Linked DNA regions of Stegostoma tigrinum. Each later gene encodes a partner of the first gene's protein in a complex. Links are inferred from orthologs where the notes say so. Each region holds a gene or a part of one and is shown on either strand. Other genes may lie near its edges.

Evidence for each region. The genes of interacting proteins can lie anywhere in the genome.
Region 2: the proteins of gins4 (region 1) and protein downstream neighbor of Son are in contact, whole or in part, in a cryo-EM structure (PDB 8Q6O), measured with the Xenopus laevis proteins. The link is inferred for Stegostoma tigrinum from reciprocal best matches to the Homo sapiens genes GINS4 and DONSON. Residues at the interface, in NP_001084702.1 of Xenopus laevis: Leu19, Thr20, Pro21, Cys51, Glu54, Gln55, His58, Asn62, Arg65, Ala66, Lys67, Lys72, His76, Asn179, Leu181, Pro184, Thr186, Asp187, Glu188, Tyr192; in XP_041437004.1 of Xenopus laevis: Tyr8, Ser9, Pro10, Ser11, Phe12, Lys13, Pro15, Ser16, Ile18, Leu19, Ser22, Thr167, Arg168, Arg245, Arg469, Val471, Glu488, Thr490, Tyr518, Thr519.

Annotation. Positions count from the first base shown.
Region 1 is NC_081393.1:15,622,752-15,633,318, reverse strand, and holds the start of gins4 (DNA replication complex GINS protein SLD5), read left to right. Parts: upstream 1-5,682; 5' UTR 5,683-5,759; coding exon 5,760-5,855; intron 5,856-6,951; coding exon 6,952-7,038; intron 7,039-9,151; coding exon 9,152-9,265; intron 9,266-9,948; coding exon 9,949-10,046; intron 10,047-10,567. Other genes in the region: chmp7 (charged multivesicular body protein 7), read left to right, coding at 329-399. UniProt on the Homo sapiens protein: Required for correct functioning of the GINS complex, a complex that plays an essential role in the initiation of DNA replication, and progression of DNA replication forks.
Region 2 is NC_081365.1:23,192,582-23,203,885, forward strand, and holds the start of protein downstream neighbor of Son, read left to right. Parts: upstream 1-6,239; 5' UTR 6,240-6,479; coding exon 6,480-6,800; intron 6,801-11,304. UniProt on the Homo sapiens protein: Replisome component that maintains genome stability by protecting stalled or damaged replication forks.

The DNA.
Region 1 (10,567 bases):
GGGAGACACAAAAACAAACATGTACACACACGTACAACCCTGTGCCCACCACCGTGACTGTCTCTGTATCTGCCGCCTGTTGCCTTGCTAATGCTCTCAGATCTCAAGGCACCAGCAGATCTCAGTGATTGGGAACTGGTAGCAGATGTTGGTGGGAGGTCACTGAAGTCTCTTGGGAGGTTCCTTCCACCATACACCACCCTCCCCCACGTACCCATCGCCACCAACTCCACCCACCCCGTCTCCTGATGGCACTAAGTCCCAGAGCCTGACCACGTACAAGGTATTTGAAACTCCGTGTGTGTCTCTCTGTGTCTCTCATATCCAGGTCTGCGAGGCAGCGGTGCTGCTACTGCTCCGCCTCAGAGAGGCTCAGCCTTGCTCGAACCTGCCCAGTGAGAGCCTGCACTGAGCGAGTGGTGAGCACCATCGAATCTCTCTCCCTCAGCTTGTGGGGGCAAGACAAGGGGAGGTCACCGTCAAGAACACACTGCGCCCTCGATATGTTTGGGATCTGGGAAACAGGTGATCTTGGAGAATTCTGTATCTTGTTTTTTTAACTTTGGGAGGACAGTACGGAGTGATTTTTTTTTAACTTTTGAAGAAAGTTGGTGGGTAAGAAGCTTCAGTCCTGGCTCCTTCAGGATGAAGAATCGCCCTGTCCCGGTGGGACTCTCTGATATTTGCCATCGGAAAGAGCCAGTTGTAACCAGAAGGTGGCAGTTCTGAGCTCCTTTGGAGAGACTCAGTGAGTGTGTGACCCCCGTGAATGGCAGGCCCAGAAAGAGCCAGTGCTGAGCCGGAAGATGGGGGAACGTTGTCAGCTCTGAGCGTCAGAGAGCATTATCTGGGCAGGACCGAGACTGCACTGAGCGGTATTTATGTGGCTTGTTGTTTGTCTTTGTCTTGAGTAGCGTAGACACTGAACCCCGCGGAGAACATCCCAGGAAGGACCCACTTCCCTCTCCACCCCATCCTTCTAAACCTGCTGCTTGTCTGAAGTCATCGTGACACGTGCTCTTGTGATCGTCTGTTTGCATTGAATGTGTTTTGTTCAAGAACTTGACATTGTACAATATTCATGTACTTTTTCAAATAGAAATAAAGACTTTTTTTAAAAAAATATGTTAAGTGCTTACTCCTGTAAGTGTCCTCATTTAGCCCTTGGGGGTGGGTTTGGTCAATGTGGAGGGGGTGAATGACTTTAATAACATGATCTGGGAAGGATCAGGCCTCTTTTTCACTTACACCTGATATTTCACAGTCTAAAACAAGGTTTGTGGTTGCACTCCCTGCTTAGTATTTCATATAAAACCTGCTGTTGTTCCTCAGCTTGAACTTCAGCCTGAGACCCCTGTGATCTCTGGGGACGTGGTGTGCAGGTGTGTCGGTGGTCAGAGGTTGGTGTCCCCGACGGTCAAGATCCAAGATCTTAGTCTCGATGCGTGCCAGGGAAGGGGCTGGTTGTTCTCCCCTCTGCTGTTTTTGGATTAGATTGTGTTTTTAGCAGGCCAGGAGGCTGCTGATAAATTGCTAACTTGGTCAAACAGCAATGGATGCTGAGTGCATTGGCCAAGTGAAACTCTGAAATCACGAGGACACGGCAAACACAGCAGCCTGGTGCTGATGACGTGAGCCGAATGTAAAAGGCAACAGTGATCCTGGACAGAGACATCCCCAAAAAAGTGTTGTAACATTAAGGGGCCAAATGGGATAAAAGAGAGTATGTTTAGCATTAAAGCTGATTGCAGTTTCGTTCCGAATAAAGTGGGGTTGTTTTCCTTTGGTACTGGCTTGTGTTTGTAGTGATCTGACCACTGTGGGGCATCTGGACAAATTATGTTCAAAACATTCTGGCTGCATTCTGTAATTTGTTTAAAGAAGAACAGTGGTAATGTCTTTGCAATCCAGACCCTCCAAACGAATGCTCTGGGGACAAGGGATCAAATCCGACTATGGCAGCTAGTGATATGTTAGTTCAGTTACAGAAGCTGGACTGAAGATCTAATCTAATGTCGAACGTTGATAACCAACAATTTGTCCTGAACTTCCCACATAGAGGCGACAGTCAAGAAAGCAAAACAGCACCTCGTCTTCCTCGGGCAGCTCAGGAAATTCAGCATGTCCGTGAGGACCCTCACCAACATTCACAGATGCACCATTGAAAGCACACTGTCCGGGTGCATAACAGCCTGGTAATGGGAACTGCTCCGTCCAGGACCATAAGAAACACCAGAAGGTGGTGTGCAAGCCCAGACCATCACAGAAGCCAACCTTCTACCCATGGACTCCCATCCACATTTCTCATTGCTGTGGAAAGGCAGCTGATGTTATTGAAGACCCCCCTGCCCCCCGCCACATCCCAACCCCAGTTCTACTCTCTTCCAATCTCTTCTGTCAGGCAGAAGATACAGAAGCTTAAACACGCATGCCAACAGGTTCTAGAACAGCTTCTTCCCTGCTGTTATTAGACTGCTGAATGGACCTCCCCAATTTCAAATCTAATGTGTTTCGGTGCACTCCTATACAGCTGTAACCCTGTATGCCATGCTTTGTTTGAACACCCTGTGGTCTGTATGTTACGATCTGCCCCTACTGCTCGCAAACAAAACTTTTTACTGTGCTTAGGTACATGTGACAACAATAAATCAAGTCAAACCATTGTCCGTTGATGATGAACAAAAACTCATCATGTTCACTGATGTCCTTTAAGGAAGGAAACTGCCATCCTTACCCAGTCTGGCTGACGTGTGACTCCGGACTTGCAGCAATATAGTTGACTCTCAACCCTTCTCTATGCATTTAGAAGACATCCCGTAAACAGATACATCAACAGTTTTCAGCCCTTCATTTCTGCAGAAGGACCTTGACCTGAAATGTCAGCTTGCCTGCTCCTCCGATGCTGCCTGGCCTGCTGTGTTCATCCAGTTCCACATTGTGTTATCTCAGACTCCAGCATCGGCAGTTCTGACTGTCTCGAAACAGTTTTTAGCTGTTCATCTGCAGCTCCAGTCTAATTACTTGTTTAAAAAAAATAGTGATAGCAGGTGAAGAATTAGTTTCCAAAATGGATCGTTGGACAGGCTGTGCTTGAAGTCTCGGAAGTGGAAGGGGATGGATTTAGTGGCAGATGCACCAGACTAAGCAGGGTTTCCTCAACTACTGACTCAAGAGGGATTGAAAACGAAAGCAAGGATCTTGAAAGTAGAGCTAAGGGAAAAAATGAGACCTATAGTTGTTGAAAATGCTTGAGCTACAGGATCTTCGATCACCTTAAATCTGTCTGCTGCTTAGGGTAATGAAACATCTGCTAAGTAATGAAGCAGCTCAGCGAGTGAACGAACCACAGCATTCACAACCTGAGCTACAAATCTACTCAAGAACCGGAGAAGCTGACTCAGGAGCGGCACAGTGGCTCAGTGGTTAGTATTGCTGCCTGACAGTGCCAGGGACCCAGGTTCGAATCCACCCTTTACGTGGAGTTTATATGTTCTTCCTGTGTCTGCATGGGGTTTCTGCCACTTCCTTCACACACTCCAATGATGTGCAGGTTATATGGAATGGTCATGTTGTAGTGTCCAGGGCTGCACAGGCCAGGGATACGGTGGGGTCTGGGTGGGATGTTCTTCCTGCGGACTTGATGGGCCAAACAGCCAGCTTCCACACAGTAAGGATTCTACAAGGAAACCACTTGCAAAACCTATTCTTGATGGAGACAGGAAGGTATGCACAGGGAAGATGACGTTCGATGACAGACCTTCATGGGGGAACAGCACCTCTCTGACCTTGCAAAGATAGGCCCAAGCTGAAATAGAGTGGCATTTAAGGACAGTGAGCTAGGATGTGGTGTCTAAAGAGACATAAGCATTTAATCTGTACTTAACAAAAGAGTCTGGCAAATCGATCATACGCACTGGACAGCTGGCCATTAAAGGTCAAGCAAGCATTATAATCACTTTATCCGTGACCATAATACTAAGGTTTTATCTGAAATTATCACTTTGTAATACACTAGTACCGAAATAAAAATTAACTGTAATGGTTCCCAAACAATATTGATTTGCATTCAGAATCTCCCTTTTGCCTAACTAAGGATGGATGAACATAGGCAAAAGGAATAGATTAAAAATGGGAGATTTTTTCAGTTTTGCATTTGGCAAGTCTCCAACAGCAATTATAATTCAAGATTCCATATTTGAATGTGTTAATTTTTAATGCCAAAAGGTCATTTGTGAAAGGGTTTAAGACTGGATTTTCAGAATTTTACTTTTCTGTGGTTTATTTCCAAGTTTCATGTTGACTATTGTAGGAAAAGTGGACAGGTTAGCACTGAGAAATGGTGAACTGTAAATGTGACTATTACAGAAATGATCCTTTTTGTTTGCATAGTGCCAGAGACAGTCTACTTCTTAATCTAATCTGTCATTGCCTGTGGCCAATAGCAACAAAGGGCAATGTACTCGTATTCATTTTCCACAGTGAGGAATGATGCATAACCACTTGGGTAAGGTTTTAATGCAAACAGCTGTATTAAAACACTGAGGAAGGAGATTGCGCTTAGGCACAATTGAGGATATGTTCCTGCATTCATGGCCATTGTAAGAATCAAAGGAACCTTCTCTCTATCTTCGAGACACTACATTCCAGATAATAATTTGCAGCCTGCTCCTTCTGCTAAAATTCTCTTCACTCTCCATATACATTATTGAATAATGTCAAATTTGACCTAATTTAATGAGCAGCAAAGTTATCCACTGGCTGAAAGATCACTTGAGGAATAAGGTTCTCATTGTCACCCTGTCCTAAGATTTCAGGGTGAAGGGTTACAGAAAATCAGGTTGTGATCAGAAAACCGAAGAACTGTACAGCACGGAAACAAAACCTTCGGTCCAACTGGCTGCAGCACAGACACCAGAACTGAATGCAGTGTTCCAAAAGTGGCCAAACCAATGTCCTGGACAGCCGCAACATGACACCCCCAGTCCTATACTCAATGGTTAGAGACAAAAAAACTAGAATCTGGAATCCAAGGTGGACAAACAGGAGGCTGGAAGAACACAGCAAGCCAGGCAGCAGCTGGACGAAAGGAGAAGTCAACATTTCCGATATTACCCTTCTTCAGGACTGAGGGCCTGGCTTGTTGTGTTCTTCTGGCCTCCTGTTTGTCTATCCTTTCCTCAATGCACTGACCGATAAAGACAAGCGAACCATCGCCTTCTTCACTACCCCGTCTCCCTGTCACTCCAAAGAAATCTGAACCTGCACTCCCCCACGGCATGACCGTGAAGTGTTTTAGAGAAACAAAAGTCGATACACAGTTAAGTTTTCTATGTTTTTTTAAAAAAAATTCACAATTCAGTCACGTTCAGGGGGATAACAAATCGAAGGAAAACAACACACAAACTTAAGGACAATGCAATGGGATGGGCTGGACTAGTTTCCCTTCGTCAGGCTGCAGACAGCTACATCCGCCTGGAAGAAAGATGGCGACGATTCCAATGGTCACAGGGGTTCGGCGTGGGGGACGCGGCCTTGTCTGCGCGATGACGTCAGACGTTCGGCGAAGCGGGCGTCCTCGCGGTGCGGTGAGGTTACCGCGTTCGGGACGTGTGTCCGGATGTCAGTCAGGAGGCGGGTCCACGAGGCGTCGGGCTGCGCGGTGACGTAAACGATGGGGGCGGGTCCCGTGCGCGATGACGCCAAACGTCGCGGCCGTGGCGGGAGTTTGCAGTTGAAGCCTCGGGTCTGCGTGAGTGACCATGTCCGTGGAGGTGATGGTGGGTGGAGAGGGCCTTGACGACGAGGAAGAGGAGGAGATCCTGACCCCGGCGCAGCTCATTGCAAAGCTGGAGGAGGTGAGGGGGGAAGGTGGGGTTAGGCCTTGGTCGCTGCACAGTAAGATCCCACACTGAGCACGGGCTTTTCCTCCTGACTCCCCGCAGACCCTGTCCCACCATCGACAAGTCAGGAGGGCGATGGAATACCCCCCACTCGCCCCGGATGGGGGCAGCTCCAACAACAGTCGAGAAGCTCAACACCATCAGGGACAGAGCAACCCCCCCCCCACTCGATTGGCGCCACATCCTCAACCATCCCACTCCCCCACCCCCAGCACTCAGAGTCACAGCAGTGTGTACTGTCTACGAGATGGACCTCAGCAACTCACCGAGGCCCCTCAGGCAGCACCTTCCAAACCCACCACCCACTTCCATCCAGAAGGACAAGGGGCAGCAGGTACATGGGAACAGCCCCCCAAGCGGGTTCACCCTCTGAGCCCCTCATTTCCCCCCTGACTTTGGGAAACATATCGGCCGTTCCTTCAGTGTCGCTGAAACCCTGGAACTCCCTCCCTGAGGGCACCGTCCCCTACACCCCATGGGCTCCAGTGGTTCAACAAGGCGGTTCACACCCACCTCGAGGCCTGTGAATAAATGCTGGCCCGGCCAGTGACACCCACACCCTGTGAATTTTGTTTTCAACGCATCCCTTTCGCTGGTAGACACTTGTTGTTGGTTTGTTCCTGAGACCACCCTGTCCCTGCACAGCAGAGGCTGAGAGTTTTCTCTGTCAGATTTATCTCAGGAATTCCTAGACTTAATTGTACATCTCACATTGATTCCAGTGTTTGGTGGTGTGCTATCTTCACGCATTCAGACTTTGCAGAGGGTGTAGAAAGTGAGGTAGTAATGGGGTCATGGACTATATTATGTTCGATTATCCTGATGTACTTATGGAAGTTATGATGTGTCCGGTTACTCCCATTAACCAGTATTTTTTGCTGTATCTCAATACATGTGACAATCATAAATTGAATCAATATACCTGATATGTAAAACAATAATACTGTATCTGTCTGCAGTCTAGGTTTTGATCGCTCTGTGATATTCAATTTGGGATTGTGTCTGCTCCTCTTACAGTTACTGTCCGTGCCTGTCTTTCATCTCTATACAGGCGTGGCTGAATGAGAAATTTTCCCCTGACCTTCTTGAACATAAGGCTGAAATTGTGGAGTGTGTCATGGAACAGCTGGATCACATGGTAACAGTTTTGTATTTTTCGTTGGGGGAGAGGAGGTGACACCTGTTCGGTGCAGTTTTGAATTTGCGATTGACGGGCACGACCAGAATCTGATTTCCCTGCCAAATGAGATGATAACGATTTGCTGTCCTGGAGTTACCTGGCAGTGCAGAAATTGATTTTTGCTGAGTTACTCAAGTCATCAGGACGTATGCCAGAATGCCGAGTTTCAAACAGTCATAATGATTTCTTTTTTTGGGAGAAAAGGGAGTTGATCAGTTGGCATGTCAATTCTGACTGGTTACAATGTCAACATGGTGAAAGCAAGGGGGAGCAAGAGTTCCCCAACGTCCTGGATAACGCAATTAACTCCGCAAAGGCCAGTATCCCACCACCAAGTCACCATTCATTTACACGTGCATAGTATATGACACTGAGCCGGTTAGCTCAGAGCCAGCTCCTAGAGTGAGCAGAATGCCTAAAACTCCTGTATATGTCTGTCAGCTAGGTCATATTCTGTGAGGTCCACCTGGCTGACCTTGTTCCAATCATTTTGAGTGCAAAGTGGTTCACGGTAATCGCAACTTTGCAGTCATGGCTCACCTCTCAACCTCCTATGCTCCAGTGAAAAAAGGCCTTGCCGATCCAGCTTCTCCTTATAACTCAAACCTTCCATTCCCGACAACATCCTGAGAAATCTCTTCTGAACGCTCTCCAGCTCAATAACATCCTTCCTATAACAGGGAGACCATAAACAATGAAGTCAGCTGTGCTAAACACCTTAACCATCATGTGTACATGTGACGCGAGCTTTGAAAAATTATGTACCTGCATCCCTCTGTCCTACAACACTACTCAAGGCCCTACTATTATTTGTACAAGTCCTGCCCAAAAGTGCAATACCTCGCATTTATCCAAGTTAAAATCCATCTACCATTCCTCAGCCCATTGGCCCAGTTGACCGAGCTTGCTTTGTGATCTCGGATAACCCTGTTTACTGTTCACTATACCACCAATTTTAGTGTCATCTACAAACTTACTTAAGATGCCTTTTATATTCTCTTTAAAATCATTTCTATAAATGACAAATAAACGTGGACCCAGTACTGATCCCTGTGGAACACCACCGGTCATGGCCCCCTGTCTGAAAAACAACCCTCCACCACCACTCTGTCTCCTGACATTAAGCCAATTTTGATTCCAATTGACAAGCTCACTCTGAATCTCATGTGATATAACTTTTCCAATTAGTTGATCATGCAAAACCTTGTCAAAGGCTTTACTAAAGTCCAAGTAAACAATATCTACTGCTCTGCCATCATCAATCTTCTTAGTTACTTCCTCAAAAAACTTAAATTAGTGAGACACAGTTTCCCTCGCATTAAACCATGCTGACTATCCCCAGTCATTTCTTGCATCTCCAAATGGATGTAAATCCTACCTTTCAGAATCGCCACCAGCAGCTTAGCTACCGCTGAAGTCAGGCTCACAGGTCTGTAGTTCTCAGATTTCTCTCTGCACTCCTGCTTAAACAGAGAAAGGAATCTGCAGGGCTTGAGGTGAAAGAGCATAGCCTGAGTCTAAAACTGGAGAATTTCACGACAGAGCCAGTGTCAGTACAGTGGGCCGAATGACACAATCGGGTGCTGGTTGTGTTCTCAATGTGACAGCAGCTGTATGGCAGAGGACTGTAACAACTCTCTTGTGACACCTTTTTAAAAAAATCAGTGAGGCAAGTCCCATCCAAGACCACGATCCATTTGTAAAAACTGACAGATGTAGTGAAAACCTCAGAGAGGATTGAAACGCAGTGCAGGGTAAGACATTGTTTTTCCTGAATTGTGAATGAAGACCGAATACAGTAATTTGAATATGTGCAAAGCAGCTGGAGCACATGCAGACCCAGGCTGTCTCTGTAATTTGACCTGGATTAACAGGACAGACTGGGATTTTTAACCCTGTGTGTCCAAATTATATCCCAACTATGAAGATCTGCAAAACTGAGGCCGTGACCCAAGTGTTTAGATCTTCTTTGTTTTGGCTGCCTTTAGCCAAAGTAGAAGGACAGGCTTTATGTGCCTTAAACCGAGGGTTCTGGTGGTTCACCATACCTACCTTTCAATCCTATTCGCAGGAACAGAACCTACAGCGAGCGAGGAAGGGAGATCTGAAAGTCACCGCCCACCGAATGGAGACTGAGAGAATTCGCTACGTCCTCAGCAGCTACTTGCGATCCCGTTTGCAGAAGGTACACGATCCACCCCAAAGCACGAAATGGGAGGGAGGAGAGCTCTGTGAGTCCATTCAAAATCCATTAAGGCTTTGGCTTGTGGACGTGAGTTGGGGACATGACCGGATATGATGGGGTTAGTGCGCCCAATGAACACTGTGCTTCTCCTGTACACTTTGAGGGAGGGGTGAATGGTGTTTTTAGTGTGTTTTTTATATAAATGTGTGTGTGTGGATGTGCATGGTGGAGCCAACATTTCTTGCTCATATCTCTTTGCCCCCAGAGAAGGTGGTGATGAACTGGACATTGCAGTCCACGCAGTGTAGGGGCAGCCCACAGTGCAGCGGTTTGGTACAGCTGAGCAGCTCACATGGCCATTTCAGGCACCTCTGAAGAGTTCACCATATTGCAATGAGTCTGGAGTGTAGTCCAGACCAGATAAGGATGGCTTTCCCTGACAGAATCTGCTGTTACCATAATCCAACAAGACCTGCGTTCGATTTTGGATAAATTAATTCTCCCAACTTAAGACTCCCCAGTGCTGCGTGAGATTTCAGTGTAAGCCTCTGGACAATTAATCAGATTGCGCAGCCAGGACCAGTGCCTCTCAGTTCTGAACTGGATCTTTTGCCTGAAAGTTTGCTTCTAATTTTAAGTTGTCCAGAGGACATAAGCTGTGTTTTTTTTTCTATAATTCTTAGATTGAGAAGTTCTTCCCTCATATCCTGGAGAAAGAGAAATCCCGCCTCGAGGCAGAGCCTTCCTATTTGTCTCCGCAAGAATATGCTTTTGCAAAAGAGTGAGTGCACTATGGATTTCAATCTGGCTTTGACCGGGAGCTGTCGATGTTGAGGTTGATCAGTTTGTATTGGGTGAGGGAGCGATGGTCGGGAATTGGATTTTGAATCAACCGCCTTCCTGCTGTTCCTTGGAGTTCAGTCTCACTCCTCTCATTCAAACCCCAGGCAATCCCTGCTTTCAGCAGCTCTGAAGGTTTCGGGTTTGTTTTTTTCCGATCTATGGATGCTAAACAATCGGAATGTACTGATCCCTCTCTGCTCCCTGCTTCACAACAAGAAAATCCCAATTGACTCTCGTTCTGGGCAGAACATGCTGATCCCTCCCTGCTGTCTACAGAAAAATCCCCCTTTGTTCTCAGTCTGAATCGCTGAAAATCCAGACGCCTTTTCGAGGTTCCACTGGTGGGGAGCTTGCTTTGATTGAATGGAGTGAGGACAGCTGTTTTACCATGGTATCTCTTGGGGAATCCCTGAGGTGGCTGAAATCGGGAGCTTTGATGCTGTCAGTGGGCCCTACTGC
Region 2 (11,304 bases), on another chromosome or scaffold:
AAACTTCCGGTCCAGGGTCCGCTCCGTGGAGCAGGACGAGACGTGCTCGCGTTTCTTCTTTCAGAAGGTGCACAAAGAGAGCTCTGTGCTTAGCCGGCTGAAGGAGGACGACGGCTCAGTGACGTCGTCTCGGCCCGACATTTTGAGGATCAGCAGATCCTTCTATGCCGGACTGTACGACACGAAGCCCACGGACAGCACGGCCTCCGAGTCGTTCCTGTCGTCTATCACGAAGGTCTTAGACGACGGCACGAAGGAGTGGCTGGACCGGCCGATATCCCTGGACGAGCTGACCAGAGCCCTCAAGTCCTTGGAGAGGAATAGGACTCCCGGAAGCCACGGCCTACCGGTCGAGCTGTATTCCGCTCTGTGGGGCCTGGTCGGCCAGGACCTGCTGGAGGTGTACGATAGTGCGCTTCGGGCAGGGGAAATGTGCAAGTCCGTGAGGAAGGGCATCATCACCCTCATTTACAAGAGGAAGGGGGAGAGAGAAGAAATTAAGAATTGGCGTCCCATTTCACTTTTGAACGTGGACTACAAAATCCTGGCCAAGGTCATAGACAACCGGCTCAGGTCTGTCCTGGAGCCGGCGATTCACCCTGACCAAACCTGTGCTGTGCCGGGCAGGAAGATCGCTGAGAGCCTCGCGCTCATCAGGGATACGATCGCCTACGTACAGGACAGGCGGGTGGACACCTGCCTTGTCAGCCTGGACCAGGACAAGGCCTTCGACAGGGTCTCTCATGCTTACATGAGGGACGTCCTCTCCAAATTGTGGTTCGGGGAGGGCATCCGCAATTGAATCCGGCTGCTCTACACCAACATCGTTAGTGCAGTCTCGATCAATGGGTGGGAGTCGGACAGTTTTCCTGTTAGATCTGGAGTCAGGCAGGGCTGCCCACTGTCTCCTGCCTTGTTCGTGTACTGTGTGGAGCCCTTTGCCGCTTCCATCAGGAAGGACGTGAGCCTGAAGGGCGTGACTATCCCAGGCAGCGGAGGCCTTCAGGTCAAGACCTCCCTGTACTTGGACGATGTCGGCCGTCTTCTGCACCGATCGTCGGTCGGTGAGTAGACTATTGGACATCTGCGGCCAGTTTGAACTGGCCTCGGGTGCCAAAGTCAATAGGGGTGAGAGCGAGGTCATGTTCTTCGGGAACTGGGACGACCGCTCCTTCATCACCTTCACCGTCAGGACAGACTACCTGAAGGTGCTGGGTGTTTTGTTTGGTGGAGCTGGGGCATGCAATAAGACTTGGGAGGAGCGTATCACCAAATTGAAGCAGAAGCTGGGCAGGTGGACGCTCCAGTCCCTCTCCATCGCGGGTAAGAACCTGGTTGTCAGGTGCGAGGGGCTTTCGGTACTGTTGTATGTGGCACAGGGCTGGCCTATTCCCTGGACCTGCGCTGCTGCAGTCACCCGGGCCATCTTCCACTTCATTTGGGGGTCGAGGATGGACCGGGTCCGCAGGGACACCATGTACAAAGACCTGGGAAATGGGGGAAAGGGCGTACCGAACGCCACCCTTGCCCTGACGGCTACCTTTGTGTGCGGCTGCATCAAGCTGTGCGTAGATCCTCAGTACGCAAACACCAAGTGTCACTACTTACTGAGGTTCTACCTGTCCCCAGTGTTGCGAAGGATGGGCTGGCCTCGTTGCCGCGGAACGCTCCGAGTAGATGGACCGTTCCATACCACCTGTCCTTCGTGGAGAAATTTTTGAAAGGAAACACCTTTGACCACAAGGCCGTCAGGCAGTGGTCAGCACGTAGTATCCTTGGGACCCTTCGGGAAAAGGAGAGGGTGGATCCCGTCATGTGCTTCCCCACGCAGACTGCCAAAGTCGTTTGGCGGAATACCTCATCGCCAGAACTTTCAAACAAGCACAAGGACATTGCTTGGCTGACGGTGAGAGGGGTTCTGCCAGTGAGATCCTTTATGCATGCCCGGAATCTCTGCGCCACCGCACGCTGCCCTCGAGGTGGCTGCGGGGGGGATGAGACTGTCGATCACCTCCTTCTGGAGTGTGCCTATGCGCAGGAGGTCTGGAGGGGGATGCAGTGGTATCTGTCGAGGTTCGTCCCGAACAGCTCCGTGTCGCAGGACTCCGTGCTCTATGGGCTGTTTCCGGGGACGCACACCGAGACCAACATCAATTGCACCTGGAGGACCATCAATGCGGTGAAAGACGCTCTTTGGTCTGCCCGCAACTTGCTGGTCTGCCAGCTGAAAGAACTGACCCCGACTGAGTGTTGCAGACTGGCGCACTCCAAGGTCCAGGACTACGTGCTGAGGGACACGCTAAAGCTTGGGGCAGCCGCCGCCAAGGCGCGGTGGGGAAAGACCACCGTATGAAATCCCTCGTCCAGAATGGAAAAAAGGGCCCTATCTGGTAACTGGGCCCAGCTGGCGCTTTCCCCAACTGGTCAGGGGGGCAACGGGAACTGTGCGGGGTGACGACTGCCGGGGTGTTTTCTTTGCTTTGTTTTTTTTCCTTCTTTGTTTTTTTCCTTCAGTTGGTGTATGTATCCCCTGGGTAACCCGGAGCGGCTTGCATGACTGGGTAGGTGTGTAAATATGTTTTATTTTTTGTACACCTTACGAATAATGTATATTTTTTCAAATAAAAAAAAGTGACGAAACGTCTGAAAACTAACCTTCCAGCTCAGCGAGCAAACTCACATCCAGAACCTCAACCTGAGCTACAAATCTTCTCTCAACCTTGAATAGTATTTGGGGCTCATATATAAGCCATAATGGAGATATCTTGGGCATGGAGTTTGAATGAGGACTGTTGAAGTAATTAAATTATTGTCAGCCAAATAGTAGGGGCATAAACAAGCCAGTATTGGAGGTCCAAAGTACGTGACTGTATTCTACAATCACAGAATCTCTACAGTTTGGAAGCAGGCCATTTAGCCCATCGAGTACCCACGGACCCTCCGATGGGCATCCCACTCAGACCCACACATTACCCCATCTCTGTAACCCTGCACGTCCTACAGCTAATCCACCGAGCTTGCTCATCGGCAATTTGGCATGACCAATCACCTAACCTGCACATCTGGAATGAGCCTTCACAAAAGAAGTCTGGAGGTTTTTGTCAATCTTCATCCCGGGTAGCTCCGTAACACGGGATTCTGTGCTCTACAATCTGTCCCCGGTACGCGCACTAAGACAAACTTCAGTTGTGTCGGGAGGATTTGGTGAAAGATGCTATTTAGCCTGCCCAAGCCTTGTTGGTCTTTCAGAACAAGTTGACCCCAACCAAGAGTTGCAGACTGGCACATTTCAATGGGGTCCAGGACTACATGTTCAGTGGCGCACTAAAGCTTGAGGCCAAAGCACAGCGGGGAAAGGCCAGTTTGAAGTCTTCCTGCTAAAGGTAAATGGGGGTCTGTTCAGTTATGGAACCCTCCTAATGTGTCAAATATATGTGAATATTAATACTGTATGTGTCGTCACTGTATTTGTACAAAGATTTTTTATGAATACTGTATATTTTTGAAATGTAAAAAATATATCTGGAGGCAGAACATAGTGGCCGTCACTACAAAGAAATTGCTTGGGAAACTGAAAGTTCGAAAGAGGGATAAATCACCTGAACCATATGCATTACACCCCAAAGGTTTCTGAAAGAGATAGCTGAGGAGATTGTGGAGGCATTGTGCAAGTATTATTTCAGGAATCACTGGAGACAGGAAGAGTCCCACTGTTTAAGAGAGGGAGGTAGAAGAAAGGACACTATATGCTATTTAGTTATTGGTCAGATTTTAGAATGCATTATTAAGAATAAGGTTGAGGAGTACTTGGAAGCTCGCAGTAAAATAGGGCTGAGTCAGCATGGCTTCAAGGAGGTGTCATGCCTGACAAACCTGTTAGGATTCTTTGGGGAGGGACCAAGCAAGTAAGACAAAGGAGAGCTGGTGGATCTATTTGAATTTTCAGAAAGCCTTTGGCAAGATGCCCACTGGAATCTGCTAAATAACAGCCCACAAAGTTAGGGGTGAGGTACTGGCATGGACAGAGGATTGGCTGACTGGCAGAAGGCAGAATAAGGTGGTCTCTTTCAAGATGGTGGCCAGTGACAAGTGGAGTTCTATAGGAATCTGTATATATTCACATTATACATTAACAATCTGGACAAAGGAACTCCAGATGTTGTTGATAAGTTTGTAGATGAGACAAAGATAACTGGTGAGATAGGTAATGTTGGGAGGCTGCAGAAGGTCTTCAACAGCTCAGAAGGTACATTCCATCTGTCACTCCTTTGACCAATGTGGGAAAGTGTGAGGTCATGCACTTTGGTACGAAGAATGCAGGCACAGTATATTTTCTAAATAGAGAAAGACTTTGAAAATCTGAAGCACAAATGGACTTGGAGGCCACAGAGTCAAACAGCACAGAAACAGACCCTTCGGTCCAACTCACCTGCACCAACCAGATATCCCAATCCCACCTAGTCCCATTTGCCAGCATTTGGCCCATATTCCTGTAAACCCTTCCTATTCATGAGCCCACCCAGATGTTTTTTAAATGTTGTAATTGTATCACACCACACTCTCTGCAGCCTGGGGCCCTGTATCTAAGGAAGGATGTGCTGGCGTTTACATGTTTACAAGAATGATTTCTGGGATGATGAGCTCATCATATTAGAGGCAGTTGAGGGGTCCCGGTCTGCATTAGAGGAGTTTAGAAGGATGACAGGAATCTTCCTGCTCTGAGAGTTTCAGGATAGTGGGCCTGTAGAAGAAACTTCCATGGCACGGCATCAGACTTCAGAACCCTTTAGAACAGAGATGGGAATTTCTTCAGTCAGAGAGTGGTGACTCTGTGGAACTTATTGACTGACTCAGAAGGCTGTGGAGGCCAAGTCATTGGGTTTTGATTAGTATGGGGATTAAGGATTAAGGGGAGAAGGCAAGAGAATGGGATTGAGATGTATATCAGCCCTGACCAAATGTCAGAGGAGATTTAATGGGCTGAATAGCCTAGTTCTGTTCCTACACTTCTTATTTCATGTCTAATTTGAACAGTCTTTGAAAAAACCTTGGTGATTTGGTAGCATGGGATATGAATATCAGCTCTTGGTTGATCAACACTGTATGCCCCCATTTTGTCCTGTATCATTCAATGAGCGGGCAGGAGATGATAATAGTGGCAAGTCAGCTTTACTCTTCTTACTTAACCACTTTCTATTTCTGAACCAATTAGTCCTCCAAGCTATCACTCACATATTTCCAATCACCTTTATTATTCAGATTAACTTAAAAGTACATCCCAGGATAAAACAGTTGCCCTGATTCTCAAGATTGATGAAACCATTGCTCTCCTAGCACAACATGCTGTGAATGTACAAGGTACAAACACTAAGTCTGCAGTGACACCAAACTGGTGTGGTAAAAAGTGAGGAAGAAAGCCTTTGAATAGAGAATGATAGAGCCAACCTGGTCTGGCTGAACTATGGTAAATGGGTCTGAAGTGTGACAATGCATTTTTAAGAGCACAAGCATGGCAAAGAAATATGTTGAACGGTGAGCCCCTAGGGTGTTCACAGAAGCCTTGGTGTGCATGTACATAGATCCTCAAACGCAGCAGAACAAGGTGAGGTGGCAAAGAAAGAATACAGGATGTAAACAAAATTGCTGGAGAAACTCAACAGGCGCGGCCGCATCTATAGAGAGAATGAAGTTAATGTTTAGAGTCCAGTAACCCTTCAGAAGTGCAGTGCAACCAGGCCTGAGTTTCCCCAGCAGTCTTTTTGCTTCAAATGTTCAGCATTCATAGTTCTTTGTTTTTACTTAAAGGAATGTGGGCTCCTTGCCTTTATTAGTCAAGGCAATGTAGACAAGGGTACGAGGGGGCTCCACGGGTCTTGAGGGAGCTGTTTTTAACGTTAGTCAGGACACAGCGCTGTGTACAGTTGCGAGCAACCCACTGCTGGAGGGATGTGAATGCACTGAAGACAACGGAGAACAGATTTACCAATATATTGCCGGGCCTGGAGCGCTCCAGCTATGAAGATAGAGACATCGGGGTTGGATGCTTTAGTGGGACACCAGGAGCTAAAGGGTATTTTTATTCCATACTATAAATAACTGCGAGAACACTCACAAAAACGCTGCGCAGCAGCTGAACGTTTCTGGAACACACTCCGACATGGGCTGCAATACGCCTGCGCGGAAATTTCACCCACCCCCATTTGGGCGGGGCCAGTAGTACGCATGCGCTCTCGCTCGGCGGGAAACCTCCAACTGTTCGTTCGCGCGAAATTTTAAAAATATTTTTCCTCCGGCCGCAGGGACAGTGATATTTCACTGATTTTGTTTTTATTTTTGAAAAGAGGAGGATGAAAACAAGGAAAGATGCTTCATTATTGCTTTTGAATATAAATATTTAAGGGGAAGGTGAAACATCTGGTTGTCCAACAATATATCGATTAATTCCTGGATTTCGCCTGATTTTTTGACCGGGTTTTAAAATGTCGGTGGCCGTACAGCTGGCCGGTTATTCGCCCAGTTTCAAGAAGCCGTCTGAAACGCTGAGGCTGAGGAAGAAGCGCGCTCGCAGCTCTCCGCGGCTCGGCCTTCCCTCGGACTCTCCGACCCCGACCGGCAAAGAGCAACCGAGACCCTGCGGCAAGCGGCAGAGGAGGGCAAGGAACCCGTTCGTCAACATCGGCAACACCGTGACCCGTCCGGGGACCGGGACCAGCTGGCCTGAGGAGTCCGACAACCCGCTACACCGCTCACTCTCCGCCCAGGAGTGGAAAGTCCCGGTCTCCGACGGCAGAACTGAATCGGCAAGTAAACGGGATGCATAGGTTTGAGATGTTGTCATCCGATTTAGAGAATGTGATTAAAGGCAGGGTTATTGTTTTAATAATCAGCGTAATGTTTAGCATGTTCCGGATCTGCAGTAGCTCAGTACTGCTGTCCTTTTAGAAGCAAAGTAATTAACTTGTTGACGCCGCTGTACATAGTTATTCCTAGACGCTGGAGGATCTGCCCTCATGGTCCACTTGCGCCATTCATACGCACCCACTTCTTTAAAAGTTACTTCCAGTTCACTGTGAGGGGTTTGAATTTATTTCTACTCTGTAGAATGACTTTTTTTTGAAAAGTTCGACACTAGGGCTTGACCGCTTGCGTTTTGGAGAACTGCTGGTTTGAAATTGTGTCGAGCCCGCAGGAGGGCAGTAGCTCAGTAAAGTAACTGGTCCCGCTTATCAATGTTCACACGAGAAAGAAATAGCCTTATCAGCATTACAACTGTTATAGGCAACGGGATGAAGATTGGCAACATTAGTGGAAAGAAGAACGAGTTAACGCGGAAACTCACTGAGCTTTCCTTTTTCTTTATTCGAGTGTCAACTACAGTCGAATAAGGTTTTCGACTTAACTGCAGGAGTTGTTGGCCAGGAGTCTAGGAAAAGACGCTGTTAGCAGTGGTCGTATCTTGGCTGATGATGTGTTTGGAGTACATGTTCCTAAATGACAAACAGGTTTCTACCTCCCGGATAGAATGGTTTCCTAGATCGTGCCCTGTTCTACGTATTGCCATTTTATCTACTCTGACCAGGAAGAGGGGCAATCAAGATGTGCCTGTATCGAAATCAACGTATTGTTAATTTCTGCACTGACTACTATCAACATTTCAAAGCCAAACACCAAGGGCATGAAGTTTCGGAAGAGTTTGGATTTCTCAAAGCTGGAACAAGCGCTCGAGGAAGAATCACATTTGCCCTTGTGCTCAACATGTGCACTCCGTTGCATTGAGGATGAGTGGGTGACTCAACAGAGGTCCTTGTCGCTACTTCTGCCACGCTTTGATTTTTAAAAACAAATAAGCAAATCCAGAATCTACTAAAGACAACGTTACCTCCTGCGTGACAAGTCATCGCTATCCAAAAAGGGCTACTAAAAGGCTTGGAAAGCTGCATGATACTTTGAATCAGCAATCAGATGATTTTCAGTCTGATGATAAAGGCTGGAAGAAATTCTACAAAGCTCTGAATTCTGTCCACTCGATGCTTCACCAAGGTTCTGAAGGATTGTCATTGCTCACTAAAACAGCCCATGTTCCCGAGAGATGAACGCGTTATGTAAAACAATTCTCCAATTGACATTCAATGAAGAAGCAGTCAACAGGTTTTCCCTGGAAGCCATCGGTGTGTCGATGCTCCCAAACTACTTAGTGACACTCAAACTGCTGTCCAGACCAAAGCTGATGCAATCCTTATTGACTCAATGTCTGATTAAGATGTTTGCTGAACTCATTCCACTTATGTGGACAAAATGGACTATCTTGCAAGCATACAAAGATGCCTTTTTCACCTGAACAAGAGAAAAGAAATGCACAAATCTTAGGGCAATCATAGCATGGTGTTTACAATGAAACCAGGCAGCTGCATAAGAAATGCCAAGAACAGAAGATTGACTTCTTTTGCACATATACTGATCTGACCCAGAACTCTAATGTTGTCAGCCAGGAAGATCTTTGGGACCTAATGGAGAAATTCAACTGCCTTAAGAAATTGCTTACAAATTTTTGGTAGTTCGAAGAACAGCATGTTCTTCTATGGATGATGATGACTCTTGTGATCAATTTCTAGTTACTAATGGAGTTAAGCAGGCTGTAGTGTTAGCACTAATTCTTGATTTTTCTCTGCCATGCTCTCTAGTCTGTGACAGATCAACTGAAGAGTGACATCTGGGTATGTAGAACATATCTGGAGAACCTTATCTAATCAAGAAACACCACTAACAACAAATACAATTTGATTATGTAAACTGTTCCTTTTTAGTTGTTAAATAGTAATCCCTGTTGAAGAGGTTGAACAAATATCTGACCTGAAAATATTGATCAGTATTCTGCTCACTTCATGATGGTCGGTTACCATTATAATACAGAATGATTTCTTGTCAGTTGCCTTTTTAGAGTGTTTGTTGCCACTGACAATGCTGCATTTTGGCTGTACCCATTTTGTATGCTGTCAAAGCCTTAACAGATAGGAATACCTTTCAGCTAAAGTTCAGGGTTTGCATGAAGAAGCAAAGTTTTTTTTTGTTTACTGACCTCTGTTCTGAGCATGCATTCTGGAGGGTGTCCAGTAAACTTTTGATTTACGTTGGCCATGTAATTATTCAGGGAAAGGATTTTTTTTTAAACTACCGATCTGCTAGATCCTGCACTCCACTCAGTTCGAACTAAATTTGAAGTGCATAGTCTGGTACCAAAATGTTGGATGATAGAACCAACAATTGGCTAGCAAAAGCAAGTTTGATTAGATTCGCTCCAGTGTGGAAACAGGCCCTTCAGCCCAACAAGTCCACACCACCCCTTGGAGCATCCCACCCAGACCCATCCCCCTATAACTCTCACACCCCTGAACACTACGGGCAATTTAGCATGGCCAATCCACCTAGCCTGCGCTTCTTTGGACTGTGGGAGGAAACCGGAGCACCCGGAGGGAACCCACGCAGACACGGGGAGAATGTGCAAACTCCGCACAGACTGTTACCCGAGGATGGAATTGAACCCAGATCCCTGGCACTGTGAGGCTGTAATGCTAACCACTGAGCCACCTTGCCAAACTTTCCTACTGGCTTTGGAGAAAGCTTGTCTCAAAGCAAGTATCTAGCTATGAGTGGATCTTGCATCATTTTTCTCTACACCAGTAGGAAAGAAATAACTTTGCCTCCCCTCGAGGCAACTTGATACATTCACCCTTTTTTGTTTTTGCTGCTTTAATCTATCTGCAGCATAAAGCGCCAGCATAAAATCTCAAACAATAGAGTTTGTTTGCAAGATATTTCTAGATACCTATATAAAGTGCATGCATGTCCAGAACTCAGCTCCACTAGCTGGGTGGTTAGTTTCTGTATACCAGTCTCCTGAGGTTGATAACATGCCAGAGGGCATCCCAAATTCATTTAAAGACTTTCTTTTTAAAAAATCTTAAATTAGATCCCACTGCCTGGGGTAAGATTGAATCAATGAAATGTCCACATGGAGAAATCTCCTCCTATTCAAGGAATCCCAACATGTGTGGAGAACAAAGTCAGGTCCTTTCAGAGTAAGCAAGCACATCACAAAGCCACTGGTTTCACAGTGACATTGCACGTAATGTTTGAAATCCAATCTGTGAATCAACATTTAATCTAAAATCAAAAAACGGCATTGACCTACACAGTAACATTAGTCTTGTTGCTGAACACTAATTTGTCGAAACAACAATGAGAGAATCTGCCATTGTGATGGAGATCAAAAGGCAACTGAATAAAATGAGGGAAATTTGATGTTTTGCAGTTAAAAGCTTACAACACCATTGCCACTTGGTTTTCTTTAAACTTACCAGTTGCGTTTCTAATTTTGATTCCAATGGAAGTTCAGACTCTTAATTCATCTGAAAAATACCCATGGAGGATTATTTCAGTTTACTATGTAAATTCCACCCCACATATGCACTGAAACCAAGCAGTGAGCACTGTGCTAGAAGAGACAATCCAGTATTTTAAGTAAAGAGAGGTGTATAACAAGGCTGTGTAACTATTGCCAAAAACTATTCAATCTGCATACAGAACAAATATTCAGAGTTAGATGTACCTCCTAAGGTTTAAAAAAGAAATGAAGTCAAGAACATAACTTGTAATATGCTGATGATGCCACTACTTATGGAATCTGAAGAAGCCATCCAAGATGTCAGGCCAATTAAACTTTCATTTGAAATCTGGGTTAAGTGTGAACACCAAAGAGATTAAGTTTAGAAGCAATATGTTAGAAGAAACTAAATAAAGATTGAAGTGCACAGTGTCACACAAGAACAAATAAATGTCTACTTGAGACAAATTTATAATGCATGTTCAATGCGGTACAGAAATTAGAAGGATCAAAATAGCCAGATGAAATTACACGAAGGTGAAGGATGTGTTAATAAAAATCAAGGTTATAAGAGGGGAAATCTCAACTACATTCTGACCATTTTCCTGAATGTCTCAAACCTGGATAATAAGTAAAGATTGCAGTGAAAGAAAACCTGCAGTCTTTGAAATGAGCATGCTAAGATAATTGTTTTTAAATAAAGACACATTTGAAATTGCAAAAGCAAAAAGAACTCCACAGTGACACGTAAAGGAAGTAAAATCAAAATTTCAACCATTTTGATGAGCTGAAAACCTACAGGACTCTTCTAATGGACGAAATGGATGGCAGCAGAAAAAGGGTTGATATAGATGTAGTTAGATAACCGAGCCAAATGGTTGCAGATCAGCTGCCATGAATAAGAATGGCATAAGACAATCAAA